Lonchura striata: one gene and its partners. The protein of the gene in region 2 interacts with the protein of the main gene of each other region in a biochemical or structural test. Links are inferred from orthologs where the notes say so. Each region holds a gene or a part of one and is shown on either strand. Other genes may lie near its edges.

Region 1 (6,827 bases), on a different chromosome or scaffold from region 2:
TTCTTAGGTTGCCATGGGAATTAATGAGGCCACAATCGGGAAATCCATCCCGGCAGCTTTGGAGATGCTGGTTCAACAGAGAGCAGTGTTTGCTCCCATGCGCTGCTGCAGGAAGCAGGGCCATGCGCTCCAAGCAAAGGGGAGACCGCTAAAAAAACTGCTTTTATCTAAATACTTCCTTGACAAATAATCCTTACTGCTGGTGCTGCTTTTCAGTTTTGTGCCCGTTCTGCTGCAACACCAGCTCACCGGAGCCCAGGCAGGAGCCACAGAGGCTGCCCGTGGTCAACAGCAACAAGGATGGATCAGTCACCACCTTGACTTTTCAATACATTTCCATATACCATGCACTGAAAAAAAACTAAGGAAGCAGCTCCCCCAAAGGGAACTAAAACCACCATCCTCTAAAAGCTGCCAGATAGGTGTTTCACCCAGTGGAAAAAAGCCAAATAAAAGCATGTGTAGGCAAGGGGCAAACTCTGGTCTAGTTCAATAATATCCAGAGGACAGTCTCCATGAATCACAACACTGGTCTCACAAGTGTCAGCATAGAATCTTTTAATACTTTACATAAAAAACTGCATACACTATAGTTTTATGTAAACATCATATACATCTCAGTTTTTGCCATGTCAGTTTATTAAAAACAGTCTCAGTACCACTGTTGAGGGAAGAGGGAATAAAGTAAACAAACATAAATGGATACATTTGTTCTCTGAACCAGAGAAACAGAAAATTATTTTCACCCAGGCTGGCCACCTTGTGAAAATAAGTTTTAAATAAACCTTGATTCTTTAAACTGCCCTTTAGTACTAAAGTCTGATGTACTCACTGCATAAGTAACAGTGCTTTCACCCTTTTTTTTTTTTTTCCAAGGCAAAAATAATACAGTGGTTTTATTTTGTCTTGTGTTGAAATCAGTTTTAAACAAGACCCAGATGAGGTTACCGAGTAAGAATGTTTCCAATGCTACAGTGTTGTATGCAGATGAGCGCATTGAGTGTTTAATTTAAACATTAAAAACTCCACCGAGTTGTGCAAAGTAACATCTTTTGAAAATAAACTTTTAAATAAACCCAAATCAACACACTTGCAGGAGACAACATCAAAAGTAAGGAGCAGGCACCAAAATCATAATATGGCAATATCATCCCCTTGCTCATCCTGCCTCATCTGTCAGGAGGTGGATATCCAGCAAGCAGGACAGTTCAGCTTTACTTTCTGGCCTGGTGGCTTCTGCAGCTGGAGTCAGTTCATGGCTCCTGTTATCAGCAGGCATCAGTCACTCAGGGCAAGTTCCTTTGCACAACACAAGTCCCACCTGGGCACCCCCTCCCCACCTCACTTTAAATAAGCACCCCCTGTACTACCCCAGTTTGCACAAGACAAAAAAGGTAACATATATACAGGCTTTGCTTGGGATGACCCTCCCCTCCCCTCCCAGTCTCGGTCTTCAGGGCGCTAACTTCCACAGCAGGTCAGGCTCAGGCTGAAACATGTGAGGGAGAAGCAAGGATGCTGCAGGCAGCCTGGGAGAGGCAGCCCCTTTCCCCAGCTCGCCTGGGTGGAGGCACATGCAGGCAGGAGGCAGAAGTCCCTTCGAGCATCTCAGCTCCACCGCCCTCCTCTTGCAAAAGAGAGGAGGCTGCCCGGGAGCAGGAAGCAGCAGGTGTTGGCAAAGGGGCAGAACCGGGTGCAAGGTTTGCTCAGTCCAGTCTCAGCAGCTTTTTGTCGTTGAGTCCACGACTAACTCGCAGGGGCCAGCGGTAGGAGAAGGCTTCTCCCCACTTTATTCCCAAGATTCAGGGCATGCAATCCCCCCCTCCCTCCGTCCCCGCGGCTGAGCAAGCACAACCCTTTTTGGCCAAGGCTCAAGGAGCGTGCTCCCTCCCTTAGCCCCCACCCCATGCACAGCCAGTCCCTAGCGGAGGGGACAGGCAGATGCCGTGTGCGTATAACCCAGCTCCTCTGCACCTGCCAACAGGTGACCCGGGCGCTGTGCCCAGCGCCGCGCTCCAGACACGCCCTATAGGACTTTGCAGCAGTTGATGCAGCCGTTCTGGGTGCCGTAGCGCTTCTGCAGGGCTGCCCGGGTGGCAGTCTCGAAGACCTCCCGGACACCCTCCTTGGTCTTGGCCGAGCACTCCAGGTAGTCGTAGGCCTGGATGCGGATGGCCATGGCCCGGCCGTCCTCGGTGCGCACCGGCTCCTGCTTCATGCGGGCCAGCTCGTTCCGCACGTGCTCGTCGTTCCGCAGGTCCTTCTTGTTGGCCACCAGGATGATGGGGACGTTGGGGCAGAAGTGCTTCACTTCGGGCACCCACTTCTCCGGGATGTTCTCCAGCGAGTCCGGGCTGTCCACGGAGAAGCACATGAGGATGACATCGGTGTCCGGGTAGGAAAGGGGACGCAGGCGGTCATAGTCCTCCTGGCCAGCCGTGTCCCACAGGGCCAGCTCCACCTGCTTGCCGTCCACCTCTATGTCCGCCACGTAGTTTTCAAAGACGGTGGGCACGTAGACCTCAGGGAACTCGTCCTTGCTGAAGACGATGAGGAGGCAAGTCTTGCCACAGGCACCGTCCCCCACCACCACCAGCTTCTTGCGGATGGCAGCCATGGCCAGGCTCGCCAAGCTGGCCTTGCCGTGCAGCAGGACGATGGCAGCGCCCTCCTCCCCGCGGCCGCCGCCTCCCGCTCCCTCTCGCTTCTCACAGGGCACCGTGGCGAGCCGGCCCGCGCAGGCAGGCGGGCGCGCCCTGCTCTCTCCGCTCACCGGCACCGCGCCGCCGTATCCTGCCTCGCGGGAGCGCTACGGCCGCAGGGCAGCGCCGCCGGCCCCGGAGCTCTGCGGTGGGAGCGGTGCCGCCGGTTCTCGCCTCACTGCACAGACACGAACGGGACCCGCTCCGCGCAGCCACTGCCGCAAGCTGCGGCCCGGCGCCGCTATTTAAAGGCGCTCGCGGCTTTCTTAATATAGCTGGCCAATGGGAAGGCAAGGAGTGAGGTCATCCCCGGCGGAGAGCGCTGCGATTGGCGGGCGGCCGCGGGCGGGGGGCGGGGCCGAGGCGGGGGGGAGCGGCCGGGCCGGGAGCGGCCGGGCCGGGCCGGGGCAGCGCGCCCGGGGTGGCGGCGGGCGGAGCCGCGCTGGGGCGGCCGGGGCTCCGTGTCCCCGGTGCGAGCCTGTCCCGGTGCGAGCCCGGTGCGAGCCTGTCCCGGTGTGAGCCTGTCCCGGTGCGAGCCTGTCCCGGGTGAGCCTGTCCCGGGTGCGCCTGTCCCGGGTGAGCCTGTCCCGGTGCGAGCCTGTCCCGGGGTGAGCCTGTCCCGGGGCGAGCCTGTCCCGGTTTGAGCCTGTCCCGGTGTCAACCTGTCCCGGTGCGAGCCTGTCCCGGGGTGAGCCTGTCCCGGGGCGAGCCTGTCCCGGTGTGAGCCCGTCCCGGTGCGAGCCTGTCCCGGTGTGAGCCTGTCCCGGTGTGAGCCTGTCCCGGTGTGAGCCTGTCCCGGGTGAGCCTGTCCCGGTGCGAGCCTGTCTCGGTGTGAGCCTGTCCCGGTGCGAGCCCGGTGTGAGCTTGTCCCCGGTGCGAACCTGTCCCGGTGCGAGCCTGTCCCTGTGTGAGCCTGTCTCGGTGCGAGCCTGTCCCGGGTGAGCCTGTCCCGGAGCGAGCCTGTCCCGGGGTGAGCCTGTCCCGGGGTGAGCCTGTCCCGGTGCGAGCTTGTCCCGGGGTGAGCCTGTCCCGGGGTGAGCCTGTCCCGGTGTGAGCCTGTCCCGGGGTGAGCCTGTCCCGGTGCGAGCTTGTCCCGGGGTGAGCCTGTCCCGGGTGAGCCTGTCCCGGTGCGAGCCTGTCCCGGGTGAGCCTGTCCCGGGTGAGCCCTCCCGGCCCGGGGATCCCGGTTGTCGCCGGGGCAGGCAGGGCCGGTCCCCGCCGCAGGCTCGCCGCTCGGGACGGCCTGAGTGAAGAGGCTGGGCGGGCACCGAGAGGAGCGGGGAGCGCCGCTGCGTCCCAGGGGCAAAGTGAACAGAGAGCATTGCAGGCGGGTGAATAAAATAAAAGCGTCCGCTGGGCGCTCCTGGAAAAGCGCTCGACACCCTTCCTTAAGAAATTAATCATATTCGACTCTCGCCAGCTTTTGGCCAAAAGGGAGCAGAGGAATTGCAAAGCGGGAGAAGCAGCAGGCTTGAACTGAATTGGCCTTTGGGTCTCAGTTTACAGGGATATCGGAAGTCACAGCAAGGAAAAAATGAACGTGGAGAATAAAGGGGCGCAAAGCCCTGTAGTGAGGGGTTGCTGGGAGGGCAGGATGCGAGTCCCTTCACAGGAGGAGCTGGCTGGGCTGAGCTGGGCCGGGCTGGGCTGAGCCGAGCCGGGCCGGGCTGGGCTGAGCCGGGCCGGGCCGGGCTGGGCTGAGCTGGGCCGAGCCGGGCCGGGCCGGGCGCGCTGGGGTGGCCGCAGTGCCGGGGCACACACGGACACCGCCGGCAGCGACGCGCTCGGTCCCTGTTGCAGCTGCCGCTGCTCAGCCGGGTGGTGTCCCAAACTTCTTCCCTGCCAGCACAGGCGCAGATGTCTTGTGGCTACTGCCTCTCGGGGTTTGATTCGAAGTGTCCCGTTTTCCCAGCCAGTACTGGCATTAGGGTATGGAACAAAAATGAGTGGTTTGTACAATACTGTTGTTATTAAAAGTTGCATTTTAAAATACCCACTTGGAGAGCGAATGCATCACTGAGTACATCAAATTGCCTGACAAGTTACTTGCAGCAGACTGTTACAGAGGGGTGTGTGTCAATAGGGCAAAAGGTTCGTTTAATCCTAGACATTGAAATAAAATTCATTTTCTGTGAGATTTTTGTAATACCCATTTCTCCCAGTCAAAAGAGCATGTTCCTGGATGCTGACGGATGAGTTTGTGCCTTGATCATACATAGGTTTGTACAGCATATTTTATATGAACATAATAAATTCAAACTGATTTTTTTAAAGAATTCAGCAATAAAGTGTAGACATAGACATGGATGTTCTTCAGTACCTATGGCCTTCCAGCGAGCCAAATTTCTGGCTTGCATCATCCCTTTAAATCCGTTGTCACTGCTCACAGGCTTCAATTCTTCTCAAACTGCGTGGAAATCACCCCCCTGCTGCCATGTCCTCCTGGCACGGGGGGATGGTGCTCGGGCAGCTTGCAGCTATTTTCTCCGCAGTCCCAGGCGGGGAAGGCCGCTGGGAGAGGCGGGCGGGGGGATTTGCGGCGGATTCCCGTTCCATGGAATCCCCGGCTCGCCGCTCCCCCCGCGCCGCCCGGCCGCGCCGCGCCGACGGCGGGGCCCCAGCGCCCCCTCGCGGCAGCTCCGCGCCCTGCACCGCCCTGCGCCTGCTCCGTGCGGCTCCGCAGCTGGAAAACCCTCCGCTGGAAAACCCTCCGCTGGAAAAACCCACCGCTGGAAAAACCCACCTCTGCGGCGGCAGCAGGAGAAGCTGCGACTGCTTCACCTGGCCTGAGAGGTGCTGCTTAAATATACTTCTGATTCCGCTTGTATTTTGAATCATGCCTGGGTGTTTGGTTTTGTCCTTTCAGGAGCAAAATGTTTTATTAAATAGAAGAAGGAATAATGCAAATGAGCAGTTACGTGTATTGACTCATCTGTGCTGTGCCACCGAAGGCAGATAAATAAGCAGTTTATTCATTTCAAAGCACACGGCTCTATTGTTGCCCAGAGTGCTGCTTACCTCTTTAAAGGTTGCCAAGCAGGGTGACCTCATCCAAATTGTCTGCTGATTCCAGCTTCCAAACTGTGCAAAGGAATTACTCCAGAAATGTCCAGCTAGCTCAAGTTAAGTCCATAGCATGATTTTTTCTTGTAACTGAGCAGTATATATATATTTGCAGCACCCACTTATGGTCTGAGCCATGACTTAATGGCTCATGCTTAATTTTCAAGTCTCACATCTCTAGTTTTCCACACAGTTGCACTGAAAGCAAAGTGCCTGATGTTTCATCTCTCACCTTGCAAGACAGACTTCAGCAAAGGCTATGTAACACCTTGACCAAGGCTTTCAAATGCTTTATAAGTATTTTTTTCCAGAAACTTTATATCATGAGACTCAGCCCTGTGACCAACTCAAGCTGAGATCACACTCCTTTCACTGTCCTGGGGTACACTCCAGCAACAGCCTCTAGGGGGAACATCTAAGTCATTGTGGTTATTACACATCTGTAATTAGTGAATATATCCAGCTTATGTATTTTAGGGCTGAATTTTAACTGACATTGTAGCTTTTATATTTTCTGCATGAATCTGCATGATATAAACTGTAGTTCTTTATGCAAGCTGAATCTTCACCTCTAGTTAGCTGTTCTAGTGCAAAATGTGCACTCTAAGCATACTGTTAGTTCTGCTGCACCATATACTTCTGTATGATTGAGGAAGAAAGCATGAAGTAGGACAAAGAAGGAAGACACCACTTGTTTGTTTTTATTGCTTGTGGGGATGGTTTTGAGATTAAAACTCAGATTTTGTTGTTTATTTATTTATTTATTTATTCATTTATTTAATCCAAGTGGCATTTTTTAGTTGAGAAGACAATTCCTGTCAATTACTGGAGATTTTTTTTCCAGCTTATATTCCCCCCCTGCTCTTCTTCTAAGCAGATTTTCTAAAGGGCATGTCTGTAACTCAGATACATTGTGTTCAGGTGTAAATCTGTACCAAAAGTATGAAAGCTCAGTGGGGAAGGCAATCTTTCTCCTTTCTGTCAATAAGTAGGCAAGTAAGTACATAGCCTGCTGTGGCATAACATGCTGAGGGAGCCACATGTCCTCTCATGGCACACAAA
Region 2 (7,756 bases):
CAGGATCACTTTATTTTTCCATCCTTGTGCTGGCAATTCTGCCACTGCTGCGCTGCCCTGATGGCAGCACAGATAGGAAGAGACCATAGATTTAACAGAAAGTTTTCTCTTACTTTGCCTAAAACTGTCTGGCTCTTGCATCACCAGCTGGGGTAAAGGCTTTAGTGAAAAGGAGAGGAGAAACTGAGATATGACAGGAGATTAGCATATTTGAGATCAACAGGCCACAAAGCCATTTTAACCTGTCATGCAACTCATTGTTACATTGAGGTTTTTAGTATTTCTGCACAGGGTGCATTATTTGCCATTTTACTTCATTACAATTTGCATCAGGCTAGGACTGACATCCTTACACATTCTGTATAAGCTGGGAGACCACTTCTGCTAATCATCAGCAGATTGAGAACTTTTGCTTATATTCACATAAATAACCCCAACACTCCGCTACTGTAAATACCTTTAGAACAAATGAGGAAAAAATTATGATTAAAAAAAATCACAGAAGATTTAACCACTGTTCCCTTGCCATTCACCCAATGACACTGACAGGCATACTAAGTGGTATTTACACTGCTATTTTCACTGCAAAACTTCAACGGTGCCTAATCACAGGAAACACAATGCAGGTAGTAAATCATAACAAACGAGGTCCTCTGTCTTGATTTAAATGTGCTCAAATCTCCCAAGAGCCGAGGAGATGAGAAAACAACAGCCAGGCTGGCTGCAGCTATTTGAGACAGGTAAGTCAGCACCCCAGTCCCAGCCAAGAACTCAGCATTGCCCAACGATTCCAGAACTAAACTTCTCCCAGAGCAATTTATTTGTTGATTAAATACAGCAGTTTTTGTCACATCACCCAGGTTTCCTGCTTGTAAAAATAGAAGATGTGTTTGAGTAAGGAGGAGATTTCTTCGATGCAGTTAAAAATGGGGAGTAATAAAAAATAAATCTACCAAGTTGCTCAATGAACTGAAACTTCAGTCTGTTCCAGGAAACATTCCCAGCCCAGAGAGAAGACTAGTGTATGCTAAAAGTAAAAAAGCATTTTGCTGCAGCATTCAGCCTTTAAAATTAAACTCAACAGCTTCTCTCTGTTATTTAAATTATCTCCTCCAGCTCAGAAGGGCTATGACCATGGCCTAAGTTACTTAACTCACATTTTTATTGACTGACTTGCATAAAAATAAGCCACATTAAGGACTGAGCTGACATTTGGTATACATCACCACAAAACTCATTTCAGATCAAACATCATTCATACAACCTAAAAATATTTCCAGCCTTCTCCCATCCAAGAAAGGGATTTTCAGATTTACATTATCCTCACAAACTTTGGTCTTCTGAAGCACAAGCGGTGCAGAATCAAAGGATTAAAAGAACACCAGGATTTTTATTTTTTGATGATCTGCCTCTGAGTGTGTTGTGTGCCAGGAGCAAGTTAACCTGTAAGTGCAGTTTCACCAGCACCGTTTTCTCATTATTTGACAATGTTTTATGCACCCACACACAGAAGATCCCTCTCCAGAGACCAATTCTGGTCACCCAGTGCTGCACTGTGGCTTCTCCAGCCCAACTGACCTCCAAACATCCACTTGTTGCCTTTGAAAGAATGGATTAGACCTTATTTTTTAATAATTCACACAGCAGTCTCAACTTCCCAACAGCTTCTCATTAAAGAAGCAGGCTCGGCTTCGACCAGAGCAGCTTCCAAAAGACTTAATCCAGATCTTTCAGGGTCCAACATAAATTGGTTTATCCATCCATGAACCCTCCAGAGGCCTCACACAGAGGCAGGACAGACACAGTTCTGGGTGTCACCTCCTGCACAGGGAAGGAACTTCCAAAGGTGAATGCCACAATGTGCCAGGTAAAAACAAGCTGAGAGGAAGGAAGCAAAATTAAAGAAACACACTAAAAAAAAACAAAACAAAACAAAACAAAAAAAAACAAAACAAAACAAAAAAAAAACTACACAAAACCATCCAGCTAAAAGCAACTAAAAGGGTATTTTCTCATTAGCAACTGAGTTATCCTCTTTGGCACACAGGAGGTTGGGGGGGTTGTTAATTAAAGTGAAGTAAGGCAAATTATGACAGGCTGTGCTGAAAACCAGTGAGTGGGAGAGGTGGCCCTGGGAATCCTGCTGGGAATGGTGAAGAGGAGACCCCAGGGAAGAGCAGCACAGGGATACCCCATGGGAGAGGGAACAGGGAAAATCCTGGGAAAGAGCTGGGAAGGGGGAAAGGTGTCACAAGGATGCCCAGGGCCAGGGAAGGTGCAGAAGAGATCCCAAAATTGGGCAGAATGCAGGGGAGCGTTATCAACAGGGATGTTCCATCGGGAGTGCAGGAGGGACCCATCTAGGGTCAGGGTGCTGGAGGGGTGGTGAGTGCCACATCCATGGGGGAGGGTGCAGGAAAGCCCCCAGGAAGGAGAAGCGTGCCCTGAGCTGCTGGAGAACGAGGGGGACACAGTGACAAACCCCCGCCCTCCTCACATTTATGTCACCCCAAGGGGGCTCAGCCACCTCACGCCGGAGGGGCGGGAAAAAATAGAAATACACAAAAGCGCAGAGAGGCTCTGTCGGGCCACAGAGGGAGAAGCGGAACAGAAAAACGGTGGATAAAAGTTAAGCGAGGCTGGGAGCTCGGGCCCGGCCGGTCCTCCCCTCACAGCCAGGGGAGGGGATGGAGGGGATGGAGGGGAGGGGACCCCGGGCCCAGCCCGGGGTGTGCGGCCACACACACCACACACACACACGCCGCTGCTGCCGCCCCGTTACCTGTGAGGCGGATCTTGATGCTGGATCCGTTCCGGCGGGTACCGGGATTCGACATCGCGCCTGGAGCAGGAGGAGGAGGAGGAGAAGGAGGACGCGGCGGCGGCGCCGAGCTCAACCGGCGGCCCCGCGCAGCCCCGCCATGCGAGCCCGCCCGCTTCTCACGATGCCGGGAATGCCCGGATCCGTGTTCCGGTGGCCGCCGCAGGCTCGGCGCCCTCAGCCGCCGCCTCAGCCCCAGCCGCCGCCGCGCCCGCCCGGCCCGGCCGCGGAGCGCCGTGGCCACGCCCCCGCCACGCCCCCGCGCACGGCGGAGGGCGGTGACGTCAGCGCGCACAGCGGCGCGGCCGCGGCCGGACGCCATGAGGGGAAGGTCGGGCGGGGAAGGTCGGGGTGTGGCGCATGCGCGGGAGGGGTCCGGGGAGCGCCCCCTGGCGAAGGGGAGAGCGCGGGGGAACGGGGAATTCGGGAATGGCGGAACGGGAATGGGGTGGGGGAATAGAGGGGGAATTGGGGAGCAGGGATGGGGTGGGGAAATAGAGGGGGAATTGGGGAGCAGGGATGGGGTGGGGGAATAGGGATGGGGGAATAGAGGGGGAATTAGGGAGTAGGGATGGGGAAATAGGGATGGGGGAATAGAGGGGGAATTGGGGAGCAGGGATGGGGCGAGGAAATAGGGATGGGGTGAGGAAATAGGGATGGGGGAATAGAGGGGGAATTGGGGAGCAGGGATGGGTTGGGATGGGGGAATGGGGAATAGAGGGGGAATTGGGGAGCAGGGATGGGGTGGGGAAATAGGGATGGGGGAATAGAGGGGGAATTAGGGAGTAGGGATGGGGTGAGGAAATAGGGATGGGGGAATAGAGGGGGAATTAGGGAGTAGGGATGGGGAATGGGGAATAGAGCAGGAATTCAGGAATGGGGATGGAGAAATGGGGGGAATAGAGGGGGAATTCGGGAATGGGGGAGTAGAAGGGGAATTGGGGAGTAGGGATGGGGAATAGAGGGGGAATTCAGGAATGGGAGTGGGGAAATGGGGGAATAGAGGGGGGACGGGAAAAGGAATGGGATGGGGAAATGGGGGAATAGGGGGGGAATGGGGGAATAGAGGGAGAACATGGGAAAAGGAATGGGATGGGGGAATAGGGGGGAATTCAGGAATAGGGATGGGGTGGGGGAATGGGGGAATAGAGGGGGAATTCAGGAATAGGGATGGGAAAACAGGGGAATAGAGGGAATGGGGGAAAAGGAATGGAATGGGGGAATAGAGGGGAAATGAGGGAAAAGGAATGGGAGAATAGAGGATAATAATGGGGGAATTGAGCAGAATAAGAGCAGGATGTGGGGGGAAAGGGTGATGGGGGATACCTGAGGAACAGCATAGGGGCAAATAGAGGTGGAATGGGAGGAATTGGGGTGCCTAGGGCTGTCCTGGGATGAAAAGGGACAAATAGGATCCCTTTAGGGATGAATAGGTGATCTCAGGGGTGGAACAGGGGCAACATGCAGGGTAGCAGGAGGGTGACAGGGTGCCTGGGGGTGAATAGGGGCTCTCACAGTGGCATGGAGGATGTATGGGGGGACACAGAGGGAGCACAGGGATGCCTGAAAGTAGCATAGGAATAAAGGAGTCTTAATTTGGGGTAAACACCACTACAGGCGGGGGCAGTGCCTGTTCCATCTCCAGAAAAGGGACAGCACCTTCTCACTGTCTACAACTCCCTGATGGGAGGGTGCCAGGTGGGGAATGGACTCTTCTCCCAAGTGCCAACACAAAGGAAAAAGCCCCAGGTTGTGACAGGGTTAGATGTTCGAAAAGATTTATTGACTGCTCAAGCAGTCCCCACTCCTGAGAATGTTCCAGGGAGCAGAGGTGGCACTAAAGGGGTAGAAGCTGATGGAAGTCAGTGGGAGATTGTGGAGGTCTTTCCCAGCCTCAATGATCCTCCACCTGCTCCTCTGGGGAAGGTTTTAATTAGAAAAACTACTTTTTTTTGTGCATGACAGGAGGGAGGTTGAGCTGCCCTGAGGAAGGACAGCATCATCATGCCCCTTTCACTGGTGTCCCATCCCATCCCCCTGGGAGGAGGGGATGCCTGCACTGCCCCCCAGCTGGAATTGCCCCAGAGCTGCTGCCTGTGCCTGGGGCTGGCAGGGGAGGGCAGCGCCCCAGGCCAGGCAAGCAGCTGCCTGCAGGTCGCTCACACACCCACACAGAGCCTTGGTGATCCCCAGGCACTGGGCCCAGTTCTTCAGCTGCCAGGGGAGACAGCAGGCACGTCCCAACACTCTTTTTAGGAGGGGCATGTTGTCCTGGCCTCTGCCTTCAGGACAATATTTTGTTAAGTTACAGACACAAGGATGGAAAGGAACAGCTCTGGGCCCCTGGCTCTGTGTAACACCACCCACCACAGATTTATGTCCAGCACATGCCAGAAAAAGAAACCAAGATATTTCCTATTTCTCTCTTAATCAGATCATCAGCAAAGAGCAGCCCTGCCTGGGCCATGGGAAAAGCCAACAGGGCTGGTCCACAGAGGACCAAAATCCAAACTCGGGGCAGGCACACAGGCCCTAGCTCTGTGTCTGAGGAAAGAGCTTCCTCACATTCCTTGTGCCCAGGGAGCTGTGGCCATTCCCAGGTGCCCCATCAGCAGTGGGAAGCCCACAGAGCCCAGGCAGCAGCAGCCCTGGCTCAGGTGCATGTTCAGGCAGTGCTGTATCATGTCTAAGTCCATAGTTCTGGATGTAAGAAGCACTTTGCATTTCATCAGATCCCAGTATTTGAATATTAAATAAATGATACTAAGCCCTGTTACCCATAAGCGGGGCTGCCCAGCTCCTCCCAGAGAACACATTTACTACCAACTCCCTTTTCCCTGGGTGGCCTGCAGGAGAAATGCATAAATCCTCTGATGAACAGATCCAGGGAAGAGGAAGAGCCTCTGTTTCCTGAAGAGGAGATTTCCCCTCCAGATTAAGCTGTCACATCACCTCCCACTGCCCCTGAGGCAGCAGAGCCCTGAGCCCACCCAGGGACACTTTGAAGAGCCAAACCCCCAAAGCAGGGAGGGAAAGCTGCTCCCTCACCTTGCCTTCAGCAAAGCCTTTGAGCTGCTTCAAGCTCTGGGTAGCAAAGGATTGGGGAAGGGTCTGCTGGGAACCACCAACACTGCAAGGATGGAGCAGTGGCCAGCAGCTCATTGAGAACCCACAGCACAAAACCTTTGTGCCATGGGCTCAACTCCATCCTCACCTTCTGCTGGAGACCACACTTGGAGGGCTTAGAGAGAAGGAGAACAAGAGCCAGGGACACACCACGGAAACCTGAAATACAGGTCCTTGGAATTAAAGAGCAGAGCCAGATCGATGGGCTGCAGGCTGATGGATGGCAACAGGGAAGCTGCAGCAGAGGTGAATCATTGCCCCTGCACTGCCTCCAACAACCTCCCTTCCAAAGGAGCAGCATCTACTCAGCAGCTCCCACATCCACATCTTCCAGGTGAAGTAACACAGCAAGGCCACTGATCCACCTGGGCCTGGCTCAGCTCCTTTCCCACAGCAATGATGGTGCCTGCAGAAAGGTGAAACATCTCTCAAACAGTTTTTTAGAGCTACTTCAGCCACTCCAAGTCAAGTCTAGAAGTTTCAGAACAAAGATCAGATGGCAGCATGCTGCTCTCCTACAGCTCAGAAGAAAGATCCCACCCAGAAAACTTGATCAGGGGCTCCAAAACACTCCTGCAAGACCTTAAGATGCTACTGGAAAAAAAAAAAACAAAACAAGCCATGTCATTTGCAACAGCAGCTTAAAGAAGGGGGGAAATAATTAAAGGCAAAAGGAACAAAGCCAAAAAGTGCAATTTATTGACAAGTTTCAGAAGTAAAAAGGCTCAACATCTCTACTCCTGACAATTTGGATGTCTGAGCTCTTCCAAAGTACCTCCACCCACCAGTTTAGAGCTGTGTCATGCTTCATCTTCAGAAGTTGAAGTCTTGTTTCTCCACTGAGAAATCATACAGCCCATCTTGGCCAGTCTGGGGCTCCAGGTTTATGCTCTCCTAGGAGGAAAATGACAGAAATTACTTATAGTGTCTGCATTTGAATAAACCTAAGCTTTTTACAGCAACTCTGTTTTATTCTTGCTTTAAAAATCCTGTTAATCTCAGTTTGACTGTAACAGAACTCCTGCTCCTTGCAGCACCCTAAAGCTGCAGTGTCCCTGCAGCCCACACAAAAGCAGCCAAGCCTTTGGGCTCAGACACCAGAAGCAAAAGGAAATAAAAGTGGCTGCAGTGGTAGAGCTCACTGAAATTAAATGGCCTGCTTGGAACAGCAACAAGCCAGGACTGCTCAGGGGGATGTTCCCCTGGAATCCAGCCCCTCCAGCAGGAGCTGGTGTGGAGAATTTCCTCCACAGCCTCTCACAGGGACACCCCACAGACCCTGCTCTGGCAAAGGACTAAACCAGACCTTTGCCCCCTGCTGCAGCTCACACCCAAAGTGAGTTCCAAGGTCTGCCAGGCCTCTGAGCCTCTTCCCTGATGATTTCCCATCTGCAAGTCTAAGGCTGGGACCAAACATGGCTCCTGTGACAGTCACTGGACCCTTGCAGCTCCTAGCTGGTGTCCTATCTTCTTTTTCCATAGATTCTTTACCATGAGAAGGGTCAAGTAATCCAAATGCAACCTGAGCACTGTTATCAGCTGAGTAGGAGGCTGCCATTCATAGTGACAAGCCAGCTCAGCTCTGAAGGAGGAAACCTCTCCACATTTGGTATTCATATCAGTAACTGCAGTAACTCCAGCTGATGCCAGTTTAAATTCCAGCAGCAAGATGCTATCAAGGCATCCATGTCTGCTGCCCAACTCATTGGCTGACAACTCGGAGCTTTTACAGACCTTTAAAAACACCTGAAAGAAGCTGCAAGGACTACTCTGGTCATGTGGAAGTCTCCTCCAAAAAAACCTCTTCCA
Region 3 (7,531 bases), on a different chromosome or scaffold from region 2:
TTGATGTCTGCGGGACACGGGGGAAACTGAGGCACGGCGGGGACACGGGGGAAACTGAGGCACGGCGGGGACACCAAGGGAAACTGAGGCACAGCAGGGACACTGAGGGAAACTGAGGCACGGTGGGGACACTGAGGCACGGCGGGGACACCGGGGGAAACTGAGGCACAGCGGGGACACTGAGGGGACATTGGGGACACTGAGGGGACATTTGGGGACACAGGTGACACACATGTGACAGGGCCATGACAATCCCGTGACCCCCACCCCTGCCTGGCCCATCCCTGCCCAGGAAAGCCCAACTGGGACCAAACTGGGCCATACTGGGACCAAACTGGGCCATGCTGGGACCAGACTGGGCCATACTGGCACCAAACTGGGCCATACTGGGATCATACTGGGCCATACTGGGACCAGACTGGGCCATACTGGGACCAAACTGGGCCATACTGGGACCAGACTGGGCCATACTGGGACCAGACTGGGCCATACTGGCACCAAACTGGGCCATACTGGGATCATACTGGGCCATACTGGGACTAAACTGGGCCATGCTGGGACCATATTGGGCCATACTGGGACCATATTGGGTCATACTGGGATCATTCTGGGACCAAACTGGGACACTCACCAAGGCCTTACTGGTCCCAGTATGTGGCCGCAACTGGTCCCACTGCCAGTCCCCAGCAAGGCACTACTGGGACCAGTCTGTGACCCTTACTGGGACCAGTCTGTGACCCTTACTGGGACCAGTCCCTGCCCCTTACTGGGACCGGTCCCTGCCCCTTACTGGGACCAGTCTGTGACCCTTACTGGGACCAGTCTGTGACCCTTACTGGGACCAGTATGTGACCCTTACTGGGACCAGTCTCTGCCCCTTACTGGGACCAGTCTGTGACCCTTACTGGGACCAGTCTGTGACCCTTACTGGGACCAGTATGTGACCCTTACTGGGACCGGTCTCTGCCCTTTACTGGGAACAGTCTGTGACCCTTACTGGGACTGGTCTCTGCCCCTTACTGGGACCAGTCCCTGCCCCTTACTGGGACCAGTCTGTGCCCCTTAATGGGACCAGTATGTGACCCTTACTGGGACCAGTCCCTGCCCCTTACTGGGACCAGTCCCTGCCCCTTAATGGGACCAGTCTGTGACCCTTACTGGGACCAGTCCGTGACCCTTACTGGGACCAGTCCCTGCCCCTTACTGGGACCAGTCCGTGACCCTTACTGGGACCAGTCTCTGCCCCTTACTGGGACCAGTCCGTGACCCTTACTGGGACCAGTCTCTGCCCCTTACTGGGACCAGTCCCTGCCCCTTACTGGGACCAGTATGTGACCCTTACTGGGACCAGTCTGCACCCCTTACTGGGACCAGTATGTGACCCTTACTGGAACCAGTCTGTGCCCCTTACTGGGACCAGACCCTGCCCCTTACTGGGACCAGACCCTGCCCCTTACTGGGACCAGTCCCTGCCCCTTACTGGGACCAGACCCTGCCCCTTACTGGGACCAGTCTGTGACCCTTACTGGGACCAGTCCCTGCCCCTTACTGGGACCGGTCCCTGCCCCTTACTGGGACCAGTCTCTGCCCCATACTGGGACCAGTCTGTGACCCTTACTGGGACCAGTCTCTGCCCCTTACTGGGACCAGTCTGTGACCCTTACTGGGACCAGTCTGTGCCCCTTAATGGGACCAGTCCCTGCCCCTTACTGGGACCAGTCCCTGCCCCTTACTGGGACCAGTACCCGGAACCGGTACCGGCCCCCCCAGAACCGTTAACGGCCCTGAACTGCCGGCCCTGCTGGGACCAGTTTGGGGCCCTGACTGGGACCAGTTCCAGGCCCTTACTGGTCCCAGTTTCTGTCCCTTACTGGTCCCAGTTCCCATCCCTCACTGGTCCCAGTTTCTGTCCCTTACTGGTCCCAGTTTCTGTCCCTTACTGGTCCCAGTTTGAGGCCCTTACTGGGCCCAGTTGGTGGCCATTACTGGGCCAAGCATGTGGCTCTTACTGGTCCCAGTTCCCGTCCCTCACTGGTCCCAGTTTGAGGCCCTTACTGGTCCCAGTTTCTGTCCCTTACTGGTTCCAGTTTCCATCCCTTACTGGGACCAGCTTGCAGCCCTAACTGGCCCCAGTTTCTGACCCTCACTGGTCCCAGTTTCCATCCCTCACTGGTCCCAGTTTCCGTTCTTTACTGGTCCCAGTTCCCGTCCCTCACTGGCCCCAGTTTGAGGCCCTTACTGGGACCAGTTGGTGGCCATTACTGGGCCAAGCATATGGCTCATACTGGTCCCAGTTCCCATCCCTCACTGGTCCCAGTTTCTGTCCCTTACTGGCCCCAGTTCCAGGCCCTTACTGGCCCCACTTTGAGGCCCTTACTGGTCCCAGTTTGAGGCCCTTACTGGTCCCAGTTTCCGACCCTTACTGGTCCCAGTTCCCATCCCTCACTGGTCCCAGTTTCCAACCTTTACTGGCCCCAGTTTGAGGCCCTTACTGGTTCCAGTTCCCATCCCTTACTGGGACCAGCTTGCAGCCCGCACTGGCCCCAGTTTCTGACCCTCACTGGTCCCAGTTTCCGTTCTTTACTGGTCCCAGTTCCCGTCCCTCACTGGCCCCAGTTTCAGGCCCTTACTGGGACCAGTTCCCGTCCCTCACTGGCCTCAGTTTGAGGCCCTTACTGGGACCAGTTTCTGTCCCTTATTGGTCCCAGTTTCTGTCCCTCACTGGTCCCAGTTTCCATCCCTCACTGGTCCCAGTTTCTGTCCCTCACTGGTGCCAGTTCCCATCCCTCACTGGTCCCAGTTCCTATCCCTCACTGGTCCCAGTTCCCATCCCTCACTGGTCCCAGTTCCCGTTCCCGTTCCCGTTCCGTTCCCCCCCCGCGCACCTTTCTGGATGCGGAGCTGCGCGGCCGAGGCCTTTTTGCTGGAGCTCTTGGTGCCGCCCGCCGATTCCTCCTCCTTCTTCTGCTGCTTCAGCGAGAACAGCTTGATCATCCTGCCGAGCCGGGCCGGGCCGGGCCGGGCCGGGCGGGTCCGGGCCCCGCCGGGGCCGAGCGAGCGGGGGCCGGGCCGGGGTCGGCGGCGAGCGCTGAGGGCCGGCCGGCTCGGCAACTTCCGGAGCCGCTCGGCTCTTTCCGGAACCGCGCCGCCACCGCCTCGGCCACTTCCGGGACGGCTCCGGCGGAGCAACTTCGGCTCTTTCCGGAACCGCGCCGCGCCGCCTCGGCCACTTCCGGGACGGCTCCGACGGAGCAACTTCGGCTCTTTCCGGAACCGCTTCGGAGGCGCTTGGAAGCGTTTCGTGGCTCTGGGGACGGCCGGAGATCTCCGGAGATGGGCGAGGAGGTTCGGGACCCTCCGGAACCGCTGGGCAATGTCCCGGCGGCCGCCCCGCGGCTCTCCGGAACCGCTCGGCGGGGCTTCGGAACCTCTCGGCAAACCTCCGGAACCGCTTCGGAACCGTTGCGGGGGGGGGGCGGCGGAACCGCCTCGGGGGAACCGCTTCCGGAACCTCCGGAGATCTCCGGGGCGGGGAGGGGCTCGGGGGGGTCTCCGGAAGGGGCGGTTCGGGACGTCCTGGAACGAATCGGGCGGGCCTGAGGGCGCTTCGGCTTTTCCCGGCAGGAATTCGACTCGTTCCGGCGCTCCGACCCCGCTTCGGTTGTTTCCGGAACGCTTCGGCTCTTTCCGGGGAAAGGGGCGGGGCGCAAAGCGGCGATTCGGGCGCTCGGCTATTTCCGGAACACTTCGGCTCGCCCCGGCTCCCGGCAGCCAATCACGTGCAGGGGGCGGGGCTTGAGCCCTTTCTCCCGGTGGGCGCCGCCATGTTCCTCGTGGGCGCCGCCATCTTTGTTGGCCCGGGGCTGAACTGGGACCAGTTTCTCCTCCCAGTCCCTTTCCCGCTCAGCTCGGGGGGCGGGGATGGAAGGGGGGGCGCAGCAGAAGGGAAAATGGCGGCACAGGGGAGGAATGGGGCAGAACCCAGGAAACCCGAGCACAGAAATGGGGAAAATCCAGGAAATTCCAGCCCTGAATTTGGGGAGAATCCAGGAAATTCAAGGCCAGAAATGGGGGAGAAACCAAGAAATCCAAGCACAGAAATGGGGGAGAATCAAGGAAATCCAAGGCCTAAAATTGGGGGAAATCCAAGGCCTAAAATTGGGGTGAATCCAGGAAATCCAAGCCCTGAAACTGGGGAGATCCAGAAAATCCAAGCACTGAAATTGGGGAGAATCCAGGAAACCCAAGGCCTAAAATTGGAGAGAATCCAGGAAATTCAAGCTCAGAAATGGGGGAGAATCCAGGAAATCCAAGGCCTAAAATTGGGGGAAATCTGGGAAATCCAAGCCCTAAAACTGGTGAAAATCCCAGAAATCCAAGCCTTGGAATGGGGGAGAATCCAGGTAATCCAAGCCCTAAAATGGGGGAAAATCCCAGAAATCCAAGCCCTAAAATTGCGGAGAATCCAGGAAATCCAAACACAGAAATGGGGAAGAATCAAGGAAATCCAAGGCCTAAAATTGGGGAGAATCCAGAAAATCCAAGCACTGAAATTGGGGCAAATCCAGGAAATCCGAGTCCTAAAACTGGGGAAAATCCCAGAAATCCAAGCCTTGGAATGGGGGACAATCTAGGTAATCCAAGCCCTAAAAATGGGGAAAGTCCAGGAAATCCAAGCACAGAAATGGGGAAGAATCAAGGAAATCCAAAGCCTAAAATTGGGGAAAATCCCAGAAATCCAAGCCTTGGAATGGGGGAGAATCCAGGTAATCCAAGCCCTAAAAATGGGGAAAGTCCAGGAAATCCAAACTCTAAAACTGGAGAGAATCCAAGAAATTCAAGCACAGAAATGAGGGAGAATCCAGAAAATCCAAACTCTAAAACTGGAGAGAACCCAAGAAATCCAAGCACAGAAATGGGGAAGAATCAAGGAAATCCGAAGCCTAAAATTGGGGAGAATCCAAGAAATCCAAGCCCTGAAATGGGGGAGAATCCAGGAAACCCAAGCCCTAAAAATGGGGAAAATCCAGGAAATCCAAGCCCAGAAATGGGGGAAGAGTCCAGGAAATCTGAGCCCTAAAACTGGGTGAAATCCAGGAAATCCAAGCTCTAAAATTGGGGAAAGTCCAGGAAATCCAAGCACAGAAATGAGGGAGAATTCAGGAAATCCAAACCCTAAAACTGCAGAGAACCCAGTAAATCCAAGCCCAGAAATGGGGAAGAATCAAGGAAATCCGAAGCCCAAAATTGGGGAGAATCCAGGAAATCCAAGCACTGAAATTGGGGCAAATCCAGGAAATCCAAACTCTAAAACTGGAGAGAACCCAAGAAATTCTCGCACAGAAATGAGGGAGAATCCAGAAAATCCAAACTCTAAAAGTGGAGAGAACCCAAGAAATCCAAGCACAGAAATGGGGAAGAATCAAGGAAATCCGAAGCCTAAAATTGGGGAGAATCCAGGAAATCCAAGCCGTGAAATGGGGGAGAATCCAGGAAACCCAAGCCCTAAAAATGGGGAAAATCCAGGAAATCCAAGCCCAGAAATGGGGGAAGAGTCCAGGAAATCTGAGCCCTAAAACTGGGTGAAATCCAGAAAATCCAAACTCTAAAACTGGAGAGAACCCAAGAAATTCTAGCACAGAAATGAGGGAGAATCCAGAAAATCCAAACTCTAAAAGTGGAGAGAACCCAAGAAATCCAAGCACAGAAATGGGGAAGAATCAAGGAAATCCAAAGCCTAAAATTGGGGAGAATCCAGGAAATCCAAGCCCTAAAAATGGGGAAAATCCAGGAAATCCAAGTCCTGAAATGGGGGAAGAGTCCAGGAAATCTGAGCCCTAAAACTGGGTGAAATCCAGGAAATCCAAACTCTAAAACTGGAGAGAACCCAGTAAATCCAAGCACAGAAATGGGGAAGAATCAAGGAAATCCAAAGCCTAAAATTAGGGAGAATCCAGGAAATCCAAGCCCTGAAATGGGGTCAAATCCAGGAAATCCAAGCCCTAAAAATGGGGAAAATCCCAGAAATCCAAGCCTTGGCATGGGGGAGAATCTAGGTAATCCAAGCCCTAAAAATGGGGAAAATCCAGGAAATTCAAGCCCAGAAATGGGGGGAAGAGTCCAGGAAATCTGAGCCCTAAAACTGGGTGAAATCCAGGAAATCCAAGCTCTAAAATTGGGGAAAGTCCAGGAAATCCAAGCACAGAAATGAGGGAGAATTCAGGAAATCCAAACCCTAAAACTGCAGAGAACCCAGTAAATCCAAGCCCAGAAATGGGGAAGAATCAAGGAAATCCAAAGCCCAAAATTGGGGAGAATCCAGAAAATCCAAGCACTGAAATTGGGGCAAATCCAGGAAATCCAAACTCTAAAACTGGAGAGAACCCAAGAAATTCTCACACAGAAATGAGGGAGAATCCAGAAAATCCAAACTCTAAAAGTTGGAGAGAACCCAAGAAATCCAAGCACAGAAATGGGGAAGAATCAAGGAAATCCGAAGCCTAAAATTGGGGAGAATCCAGGAAATCCAAGCCCTGAAATGGGGTCAAATCCAGGAAATCCAAGCCCTGGAACTGGGGCAAATCCCAGAAATCCAGGTGAAATCCCAGAAATCCAGGTGAAATCCAGCCCTGAAACGAGGCAGGACCCAGGAGACCGAGGCAGGAGTTTATTTTCCCACGTGACCCCAGGAAAAGGGGGGACAGGGACACCCCCACATCCCGGGGGGCTCTGGGGGGAACCCGAACCCCTGGGGGGGCAAACGGGGGTGCTGGGAGGGCTTTCACCCCCCGGGAGGGGCCATCAGGAGCCTGGAGGCACCTCCAGGGCTTCCTCGGGATCCACCAGGAGCCGGGAGAACTTCTGGTCCCCGAAGACGGCGCTGAGGCGGCTCTCGAGGAAGCGCTGCAGCCCCAGGATGGACTGGACATCCGCCTTGTCCTGGGGTGGGGGAAGGAGAGAATTCCAGCGGGGCTGGACCCCCGAGGAGCCCCGGAAGAGCCCCCGGGGGCTGCCCGACCTCGGTGAGGCGGTGGAACTGGCGCAGCAGGCGCCAGCCGTCGCGGGCAAACTCCTCGGGGCTGCGGTAGTGCGGGCTCAGCTTCTCCTGCAGCCGCGCCCGCATCAGCGTCAGGTCCATGGCGTCGCGGCCGTCCTGCGGGACCGGCGGCGCGGTCAGCGGGCGCAGCCGGGCGGATCCCAGCCCTGAGCGCACCCCTGATCCTGATCCCACCCCCTGATCCCACCCCTGATCCTGATCCGTCCTCTGATCCCACCCCTGATCCTGATCCCACCCCTGATCCTGATCCGTCCTCTGATCCCACCCCTGATCCTGATCCGTCCTCTGATCCCACCCCCTGATCCTGATCCCACCCCGATCCTGATCCGTCCTCTGATCCCACCCCCTGATCCTGATCCATCCTCTGATCCCACCCCCTGATCCTGATCCCACCCCCTGATCCTGATCCCACCCTGATCCTGATCCATCCTCTGATCCCACCCCTGATCCTGATCCGTCCTCTGATCCCACCCC
Region 4 (8,054 bases), on a different chromosome or scaffold from region 2:
CCATCCCCAGCTTGCTCTCACCATCACATCATCAGCACAGAAACATGCAGTGTTCTCATTCTTCTAAATCAGTGATTTTCAGCTATTTCCAGAATATGACCTCACATTACAAGAGCACTTTCTGGAGTCTGACACCTGCTACTAAGCTCAGAAAAAAGTTGGCCCTTGCGTCTTCAAAGCTGTCTGCAACAACGAGACCAATTTCCTATGGACAACAGAGAAGTTGGACCATGGAATTGGGATAGAACATGTAGTTCAGAAATAGGATGAATCTGACATCACAGTGACATCCTTACATGTCCCATAATCCTGTGATCACTATGAGTTTTTTTCTTTGATGAAGACTGGCTTCAAATTAGCCATGAAGAAAATTTGTCTTCCTTTCCTAAAGGTTTACTCCCTTCCCTCCATTTGTTTTATATACCATACTATTAGTCAAACATGGAGATTTCTGGGTGAATTCCTCAATGTTCTGTTCTGCATGGTCCCAGTTTTTCATAGGGTTTTTCAGTGCCCAGCCCAAGCACTGCCTTCCAAGCATGGTCCTTTTGGTGGTCTCTGGCAGTTGGGTGGGACACATGCTCACTTCAGGACAGTGAGGAGATCTGACATGCAGCCTCACATAAGCATCTCACTCAACATAATCGTCTGCTGACACAGTCATGAGCTGTGTCATCCAGCAATAGAAGGACCCAACGTCCACAATAACTGTGCACTGAAAACTTGCATTTGTGGCTCCATGGCCAAAACCACAGGAAAACTATTTTTAGCACAACGCAGCTCTAAATAGTGGAAGCACTGAAAATTTAGCTCACATCATGGGCCAAATTCTTCCCCTGGTTACACCCACTCTATGGAGAAGCTTCAGTATAGTAAACAGACACACTCTGAAACAGAAATTAATTTTTTTTTTTAAGTTTTGCTTATGAGCAAAATAAGTATTTTAAACTTTAAATGAAGAAGGGTATGCATCCTCCAGCATTTCCTCTGGAAATAAATGAAAGGAGAAAAGAATGGTTTGAAATAGAAGCTCTCTATTATAGTAACTGTATCTGTTGTGATAAAGGTAATTCTTCCCACCTGTATGTATAAACCATACCCAGAGCTGACATCTCTCAATTCATTACACAGCCACTTTTGGCCTAGACCAGTGAAAAGAACACGCAGTTTATCTGCACCTTGAAAGAAGGCAACACAGATGAGTGTAACCTATGAGTAACAAATCAGGTTTTAATAGCTAGACCTACACTTAATTACTCACAAGCCAACTTTCTAACAGCCGTTTTATCACCTCAGGATTTCCCAACACAAAACAAATTAGTGATGGCAGTGCAGAGCACTCAGGCTTTCTCATGTAGGAACTGACACGACCTGACTTTCTCCTTCTGGGTGTAATTCCAACGGAGTCACCAAGTTACAGGGTGCTGAGCCTTTATAACTTGCATTTAAATTTTGTGGCACACTTAGGGACACAATTTTGTTTTCCAGCCTCATGACCAAACAGTTGGGTTTAGTAATTTCCTCTACCATATCAAGATCTGCATATACAAACATAATAATGTCTATTGTAAATGAAAGTGCTTTTGGGCATAGTGTAGGAAGGCTTTTGGACAGTGTGCTGAAAGCTATTTGCTTTCTCTTACCAAAATTTCCACTGATTTTTTTTTTTTTTTTTTTTTTTTTGGGAGAAGTGGGAACTGGACCATCTTCTAAACCCAAAAGTTCTTGGAAAAGCCAGTAAGATGAGAAAATCATAAAACAGTAATATAGTAATGATAATGTTATTTCTCACTATCTTATTGTTGATGAGTCTTCTTGCACTCTTTAAGCACTGCCCTATGACATATGTTTTAAAAGGAAGTACAGGAAGGAAAATCAAAAGGAAAACAACACATTTTCAATTTGGTTACATTTTTTTTCTAATCTGATACAAATTAGTACTGATGTTGTCTAAGTATCTTCATATGTAATACTGTAAAGGGCAAAAAATAAATTCATAAATGCTCCAGCTGCTTAGCCTGGCCCCGTGTAAGGCACTGCCACTAAAATAGTTCACAACCGTAATTACAATTCGCCACATCTTGGGAATGACATTTAGGATTCTCGAGGCGCTTTCAGATAATTTTTAGACTACACGTAGAAGTTCAGCTGTCACAAAGTCAGTTTTATTTTGTAACAGATTTTATCCTTTGGAATGTTATGTTTGGAGTGAGCTGAAGATATGGAAAAATACATGCAATGTAGTTCGCTTACCCGACTGAAATAAAAGCTGAAACTTTTTTTCTCCTTAATGTTCATATTCCAGCCTGTGCTTGTCCGCAGCTATTTAGATTTGGAAGTGGGGGTGATGGGGGGGCAGGAGAAAAAACTCCCCTACTGCACTATTCTGACTCCATTAGTGGAGGCAACAAGAATTCCTGCTCCCTCTCCAGTAATTAAATAAATATTTAACATTGCGGGATTTAATTGGAATCCCGAAAGTTAACAATAGCCTGAGCTATCGGTGTCGCTATCTCAGGGGTTCTGCTTTCGCAAGGGTATATTTAGATCTCGGCCACATCGCCCACTTGCATTGCGAATAGTACAACCTCTCTCCTAAAAAAAAAAAAATAAAGAAAGAAAGAAAGAAAGAAAGAAAGAAAAAAAACAACTAAGAAGCTCGGTAGAATCTGGAAACTTTTATAAAGTGACGCCGTCTCCGCGGATCTCCTTCCCTGCTGCACAACGTACTTGAAAGCGGAGCAAATGCAGTGGCCGGCAGGCTCGCGAAAAAAAAAAAAAAAAAAAAAAAAAAAAAAAAAAAAACCACAAAAAAAAACCCCAAAAAAACCCCAACAAAACAAACAAACAAAAAAACCCCAAACCCGAAAACCAACCAAAAACCAAACCAAAACAAGCCGAAGGAACACAGCATTACCTTCCAGCACTTAGTGCAGCTCCACTCTCTGCCCCCGTGCAGGGACCGCGGCCCCGCTCCCGGCTCGGGGCAGAGCCCCGCGAGGGCCCCGGCTCGGGGCAGCGCCCCGCGAGGGCCCCGGCCCGGCGGGACGGGCGGGACGGCCCCGAGCTGCCGCCGGACAGTCCGCAGCCCGCTCTGCAAACTTGCTGCAAAACTCGTGTGTCGGGTCTTTCTCTGCTTCCTTCTTCCATCCTGCAATGCCGCCCTTCGCTCCGATGCAACGCAGCCATGTTCTGTGCTGTGCCTGTGCTACAATCCCTGGATTTTGCCGGGGTAAATCCTGGCTTTGCCCCAGAGCACGCTGATCCCTTTTGGTGGTTAATTTATCTGCTTTATAAAAAGGGAACTACAATCACGGTGTATTGATTCTTTGCATTAAGTCTCTCTGCACAAGAAGAATATGCACTGAATAGAATATGAACTCTGCACGATCTGAGTTTTTAATGGATATAAATGTGTATATGCATATATAATACATATAAATACATATGTATACACATATTTAACGTATTCACATGCTATGTCTGGGCTCACATCAACACACACACCTCAAAATTGGAAAGTTTAATTAGGATATTGGTGCTTTTCAAGTAAAAATTATAAAGTATCTTTATACCAGGCCTATGTTTGCATTTTACTACTCTGTATGTATAAACAAGATGGCAGAAATGGAGAGTAACATTTTTAAATGAGAATACAGGTTTCCAAAAGACAGGTTGTTCTCTGTGTAGCTACTGAGCTAAACACCATTAAAACAGATTAGTCTTGTTGACAACAGAGCTCACAGAGGTTCCAAAGTCCAATTAACAGGAACATTTTAACCCCCTAGAAGAACCACTTAAAACAGAACATCGAATTTATGCAATTAGATGCTTGCAGAATCAAAACATTTCCTATTAAAAAAATGAAATTATTATGATTATGGCTAATCATTATCCCTTGCTCTTCATGAAGATGACTAGAGCTGTGAATGACCAGCTCAACCCTCTCATACCCCAGTTTGGGAGAAACTTTGTGTCTCCCTCACACTGCAAGCTCGAGTTCCCCTGCCAGAATATCAACGTTCTGACAAGATTTGAGCCAGCAGTGGAAAGGAAGGTTAAAGCCCCCTGTGAGGTGTTGGCTTGTCAAAGTCAGATTTTGCAGATTACTGCTGCCTTTCTTTGAACGATTCAGCCAGAGTATGAGGAAGATAATATTCTTCTTGATCTATTCATCCTGGGTTTCTTAAAAGGCTCTTGGCAATGTCTCCCACTTGTCTCAGAGAAGATTATCTGCTAGGGAAGAGGAGGTAATGGTCTCCTGAAGGGTATAACCACTCAAAAGAAAGGCAGCAAAGAGTGGTGGTTTCTGGTTCCTTTCCACAGCAAAGGAAGTGGAATTTGGCAGGGAAAAGTGCCCATTGGTGCACACCATCATTGTGTCACTGGGTGAGCTGGAGAAGGCACTGAGATGAACTGTGGATAACAAAGTCATGTATGAAAGGGAAGATGAGGACTTGGTGTGAAGAATTGAAGGACGACTTTCCCATACTGAGTGGGAAATAAAAGGTAGATGAAATCCAGTCTAGATATAAATGCAAAGTAGCACATGTGGAGGTGAAGTAACATCCAAGATTACATGATCTAACATCACCCACTAGCTATGTTTTGTAATAGTTCAGTGCAGGTATTGGATGAATTTTTGATCACCAAGGAATGCACTGGACATCAGGAATTGCAACAAAAGCAATAGCAAAAAAGAAAAGATTGATTCCATGCTGGGAATTCTGGTGCACCTGCATCAGAGGTTCCAGACAGAGGGACAGTTCTCCATCTCAAGGAGATCTGCTACATCTGGTACAAGTACAGACAAGGCCAAAAGGAGTGGTCTGAAGATCAGATGGGTCCCATGCAGAGCATGCCTAAATATTCTCTTCCATCTGGAAAAGAAACAGCTGAAAAGAGACATTAAAGACACCTGCAGAAAGCCCAAATTGAAAAGGTGAAAGAAAAGCCTTTGTCTTCAAATTCTGGAGGAAGAAAGGTTAGCTGCAGGCTTTTGAAAAGAAGAAGATGGTTCTTCACTCAAAGTATAATAAGAAGTTTGAATTTCTGCCACCAAACATTGTGGCTACTAATGGTTTACATTAATTCAAAAATCAAAACTGGTAACAGAGCAAATTCACAAAAGCAAAGCCTGTTAAGAGTCATTAGGTACAAGACACTGGTCTCTGGCTCTGGAAGTCCCATGGTTGTAAACTGGATTCCATGGGGAGGATTCCATGCCATCACTGTTTTCCCAGCACTTGCACTCTTCCTCTGGGCATCCCTGTTGTGGCTGCTGTCCAGCACACTGAGCTGGACAGGCCTTTGATCCCACCTGCAACCACCTCGTATTCTTCACATGTCAGCAGAACTGTTTTTCATTCTGGAGCTCATCTCTCACAGCAGTCATATTTTATTGTCAATAATATCACAAATTCTGGCCTTGTAAATTGGTAATTCTGGTCTTAAATTTTTGTAAGTTGTGTGATACCCCAATTCTGCCTCTCCACCATTCTACAAATATTTTACATCTACCTAAATTACACATATAAACACACCTGTTAATAGGAGTAAAAGTCTTCTATTCAAAAACTGTGAAATTGTTTTTCTTTATGTACCACTCTAGCTTTCTCAATAGACTCAGAAGCAAAGATTCCAAAAAGTCAGGAATGAGTTTACACTCTGAATTTTGAGTTTACAACTCAAAAATGCATCAATTATTCTAATCTAGATTAAGAAACTATTATTAAGAATTCCACATTAAAGGTAATTTCAATAGAAACCTCAAATTAGTGAAGCTTCAGTACGGTAAAGCATGATTATGAGGGCTCATAGTCCAGTTGCAGATACTGAGTGAACCCTGTTGCACCTTTGCATCCACATTTTTGTATCACTATGTACAATAATGAAAGTTGTGTTTTGAAACAGGCATCTGGTCTTTGCCAGTGATACCAGGGCTGTGTAATAATGAGAAACTTCCCTTCATGCCAAACAAGAAAAAAAAAAAAAAAGGATTTTTTTCATTTTCTCTGAGGAGAAAATGGTAGCAGGCAGAACAGTAATTTGTCATTTGAAAAGTTTTGTTTGATGGAAGAAAAATCCTTTTGAAACAGTAGTGCCAGTGAGGAACATCTAATGGAAAAAGCAACTTCCAAAACTTGATTTTTGACAATGACGAAATGGGATTGCTGCTGAACTTCTCCTTTTGTCCATTCTCCTCCTTCTCTAAACTAGCAGTAAAATACAATGTATTTCATGAGGTACTTTGACAAATTTGTATAGAGCAGTGGAAGAGGGGTAGGCCAGAGATTCTTTGGTCCAACTCAAAAGAATGGAAACCTACTTGAGGAATATTTAGTTATTACACTTTCTAAGAGGAAAGCATTTGCATTGCTATTAGAAATACAAAGAAAATTAAGTTCAGCTAGAAAATACCACATGTCCAAAATCAGTCAGATATATCAGTGGCAATTTCAGGGCTCAAGATTTTAATTCAGGCCCCAGTTTTGATTCCAAAGACTGCTCTGATGCAGAGGATCTTGGGTGTATAAACACAGAGCAGTTATAGTTGTTCTGCAGTTTCCACTACCCCTAAATACTGACATTTTGGGGTTTTGTAGAGCAAGGAGGTTTTTCCATTCTAGATTGCCAAAGAACTGTTTCTGAGAAAGCCACACAATTCAACTTGAAATAAGCTCTTTCCTGCCTTTCTTACACACAGCTCATCACACCCAGATTTTAGTATTTGTGTTCTTGTTTCAAACCTACTCTTCTAATTTATTGTATGAGCAATGTCTTGCTTTTCGTGCTGTTGAAGTGATTTCTTGGGAAAATTCTGGGTTTAGTGCCAGGTATTTTTAGTAGGATAGTTGGAACTGCTGATAGAAGGCTATAAACTTTAGTTTTAAGAAAATAATGATTAGTGCTTACATTTAAGCATAAGAATAATCTCCCATTTATTCAGTGAAGTATTTATGGCTGTGCTTTACTTTAAGCCCACTTTTAAATTCAATTAACTTAATTTTAATAATGGACTTAAGTGCTCTGCTCTCTCAGGATAATAAGAGCATTGGCATTTCATTTAGCTGGCTGAGCTTGTTTTTAAGTAAATTTTGTACTCTCAAGCACAAACTGACAAACATGCAAATAAGAGTTACCTTTTTGCCTAAAGACAGAAAATGATAAACCAAGTCATTTTCCAGTCCACGAGGGGAAACACCTAGGCAAGGAATAGATTTTCATTTCCCTGATACTATCGTTTTAATTGTCTGGAAGTGGAACACTGCCTTGCAAGGAGGCTTTGTGCCATCTTTGATCTCCTTCTGTACTTGAGCAAAGAGAGACATAAGTGTTGTTTTCCATTGAAATGAAGAACATTTGTTTGCTTGTTTTCTAGACAAAAGCAAATGTCTTTGAGACACTGTGGGCCATAGCTCCACTTGATATAAATTGGCACATCTCTTTCATTCCAGGGGAATTACACTAATTTTACACCTCAGAGTACATCTCGGAGACTTTCCACCTCATGTATGGACTTGAATAGAGATATTCTGTATCATGAGGTGAGATCATAATATGCAAGTGTTTCACAGACATAAAGCTATGAGGTCTGGGAATGCTTGACAGTAGCTAGTAAATACAGTATGGTCTAGTCATTAAGTGGGACCAATTGTTTATAAGCAGAATAAACAAGTTGGTAGGCAGAGCCAAAATGCAATTTTCTTTACCATGGCACTCCTAATTAACAGCTTTTCCCCACTGAAGCAATAAAATGAAAAATTATGGTTTTATTAAGTCTTATGTAGCTCAAAAAAAGCCCTTTTAAATGTCATTAACACTTGATCTGTTCACCAGAGAAGTAGAAAAAGAAGTAAAAGAATAATTGAAAAATTTGAGCATAAAACAGCTTACAGAACTGACAAGGCTATTTCTGATGCAAATTGTGAACTGGCCTAAAACAATGCCAATTTTACCACCATTCAATGTTAAAGGAAATAAATTGTGTTATGTTGTCATAGTTACTTCAATTAATGTGAAATAAAAGACTTTCAGTATTTTCTAATGCTGTT

Evidence for each region.
Region 1: the proteins of SMURF1 (region 2) and RHOB form a complex in vitro, tested with the Homo sapiens proteins (2 studies listed by BioGRID and IntAct, with this or other methods). The link is inferred for Lonchura striata from reciprocal best matches to the Homo sapiens genes SMURF1 and RHOB.
Region 3: the proteins of SMURF1 (region 2) and UBE2M form a complex in vitro, tested with the Homo sapiens proteins (2 studies listed by BioGRID). The link is inferred for Lonchura striata from reciprocal best matches to the Homo sapiens genes SMURF1 and UBE2M.
Region 4: of the proteins of SMURF1 (region 2) and SMAD5, one has a biochemical effect on the other in vitro, tested with the Homo sapiens proteins (3 studies listed by BioGRID, with this or other methods). The link is inferred for Lonchura striata from reciprocal best matches to the Homo sapiens genes SMURF1 and SMAD5.

What each region holds. Positions count from the first base shown.
Region 1 is NC_134605.1:104,397,443-104,404,269, reverse strand, and holds RHOB (rho-related GTP-binding protein RhoB), read right to left. Parts: upstream 2,913-6,827; 5' UTR 2,618-2,912; coding exon 2,027-2,617; 3' UTR 544-2,026; downstream 1-543. UniProt on the Homo sapiens protein: Mediates apoptosis in neoplastically transformed cells after DNA damage. Not essential for development but affects cell adhesion and growth factor signaling in transformed cells. Plays a negative role in tumorigenesis as deletion causes tumor formation.
Region 2 is NC_134618.1:14,830,702-14,838,457, forward strand, and holds the start of SMURF1 (E3 ubiquitin-protein ligase SMURF1), read right to left. Parts: upstream 3,028-7,756; 5' UTR 2,838-3,027; coding exon 2,783-2,837; intron 1-2,782. Other genes in the region: KPNA7 (importin subunit alpha-8), read right to left, coding at 6,761-6,841. UniProt on the Homo sapiens protein: E3 ubiquitin-protein ligase that acts as a negative regulator of BMP signaling pathway. Mediates ubiquitination and degradation of SMAD1 and SMAD5, 2 receptor-regulated SMADs specific for the BMP pathway.
Region 3 is NC_134640.1:1,406,080-1,413,610, forward strand, and holds the start of UBE2M (NEDD8-conjugating enzyme Ubc12), read right to left. Parts: upstream 3,062-7,531; 5' UTR 2,995-3,061; coding exon 2,886-2,994; intron 8-2,885; coding exon 1-7. Other genes in the region: TRIM28 (transcription intermediary factor 1-beta), read right to left, coding at 6,802-6,939, 7,019-7,153.
Region 4 is NC_134617.1:8,677,440-8,685,493, forward strand, and holds the start of SMAD5 (mothers against decapentaplegic homolog 5), read right to left. Parts: upstream 3,032-8,054; 5' UTR 2,918-3,031; intron 1-2,917. UniProt on the Homo sapiens protein: Transcriptional regulator that plays a role in various cellular processes including embryonic development, cell differentiation, angiogenesis and tissue homeostasis.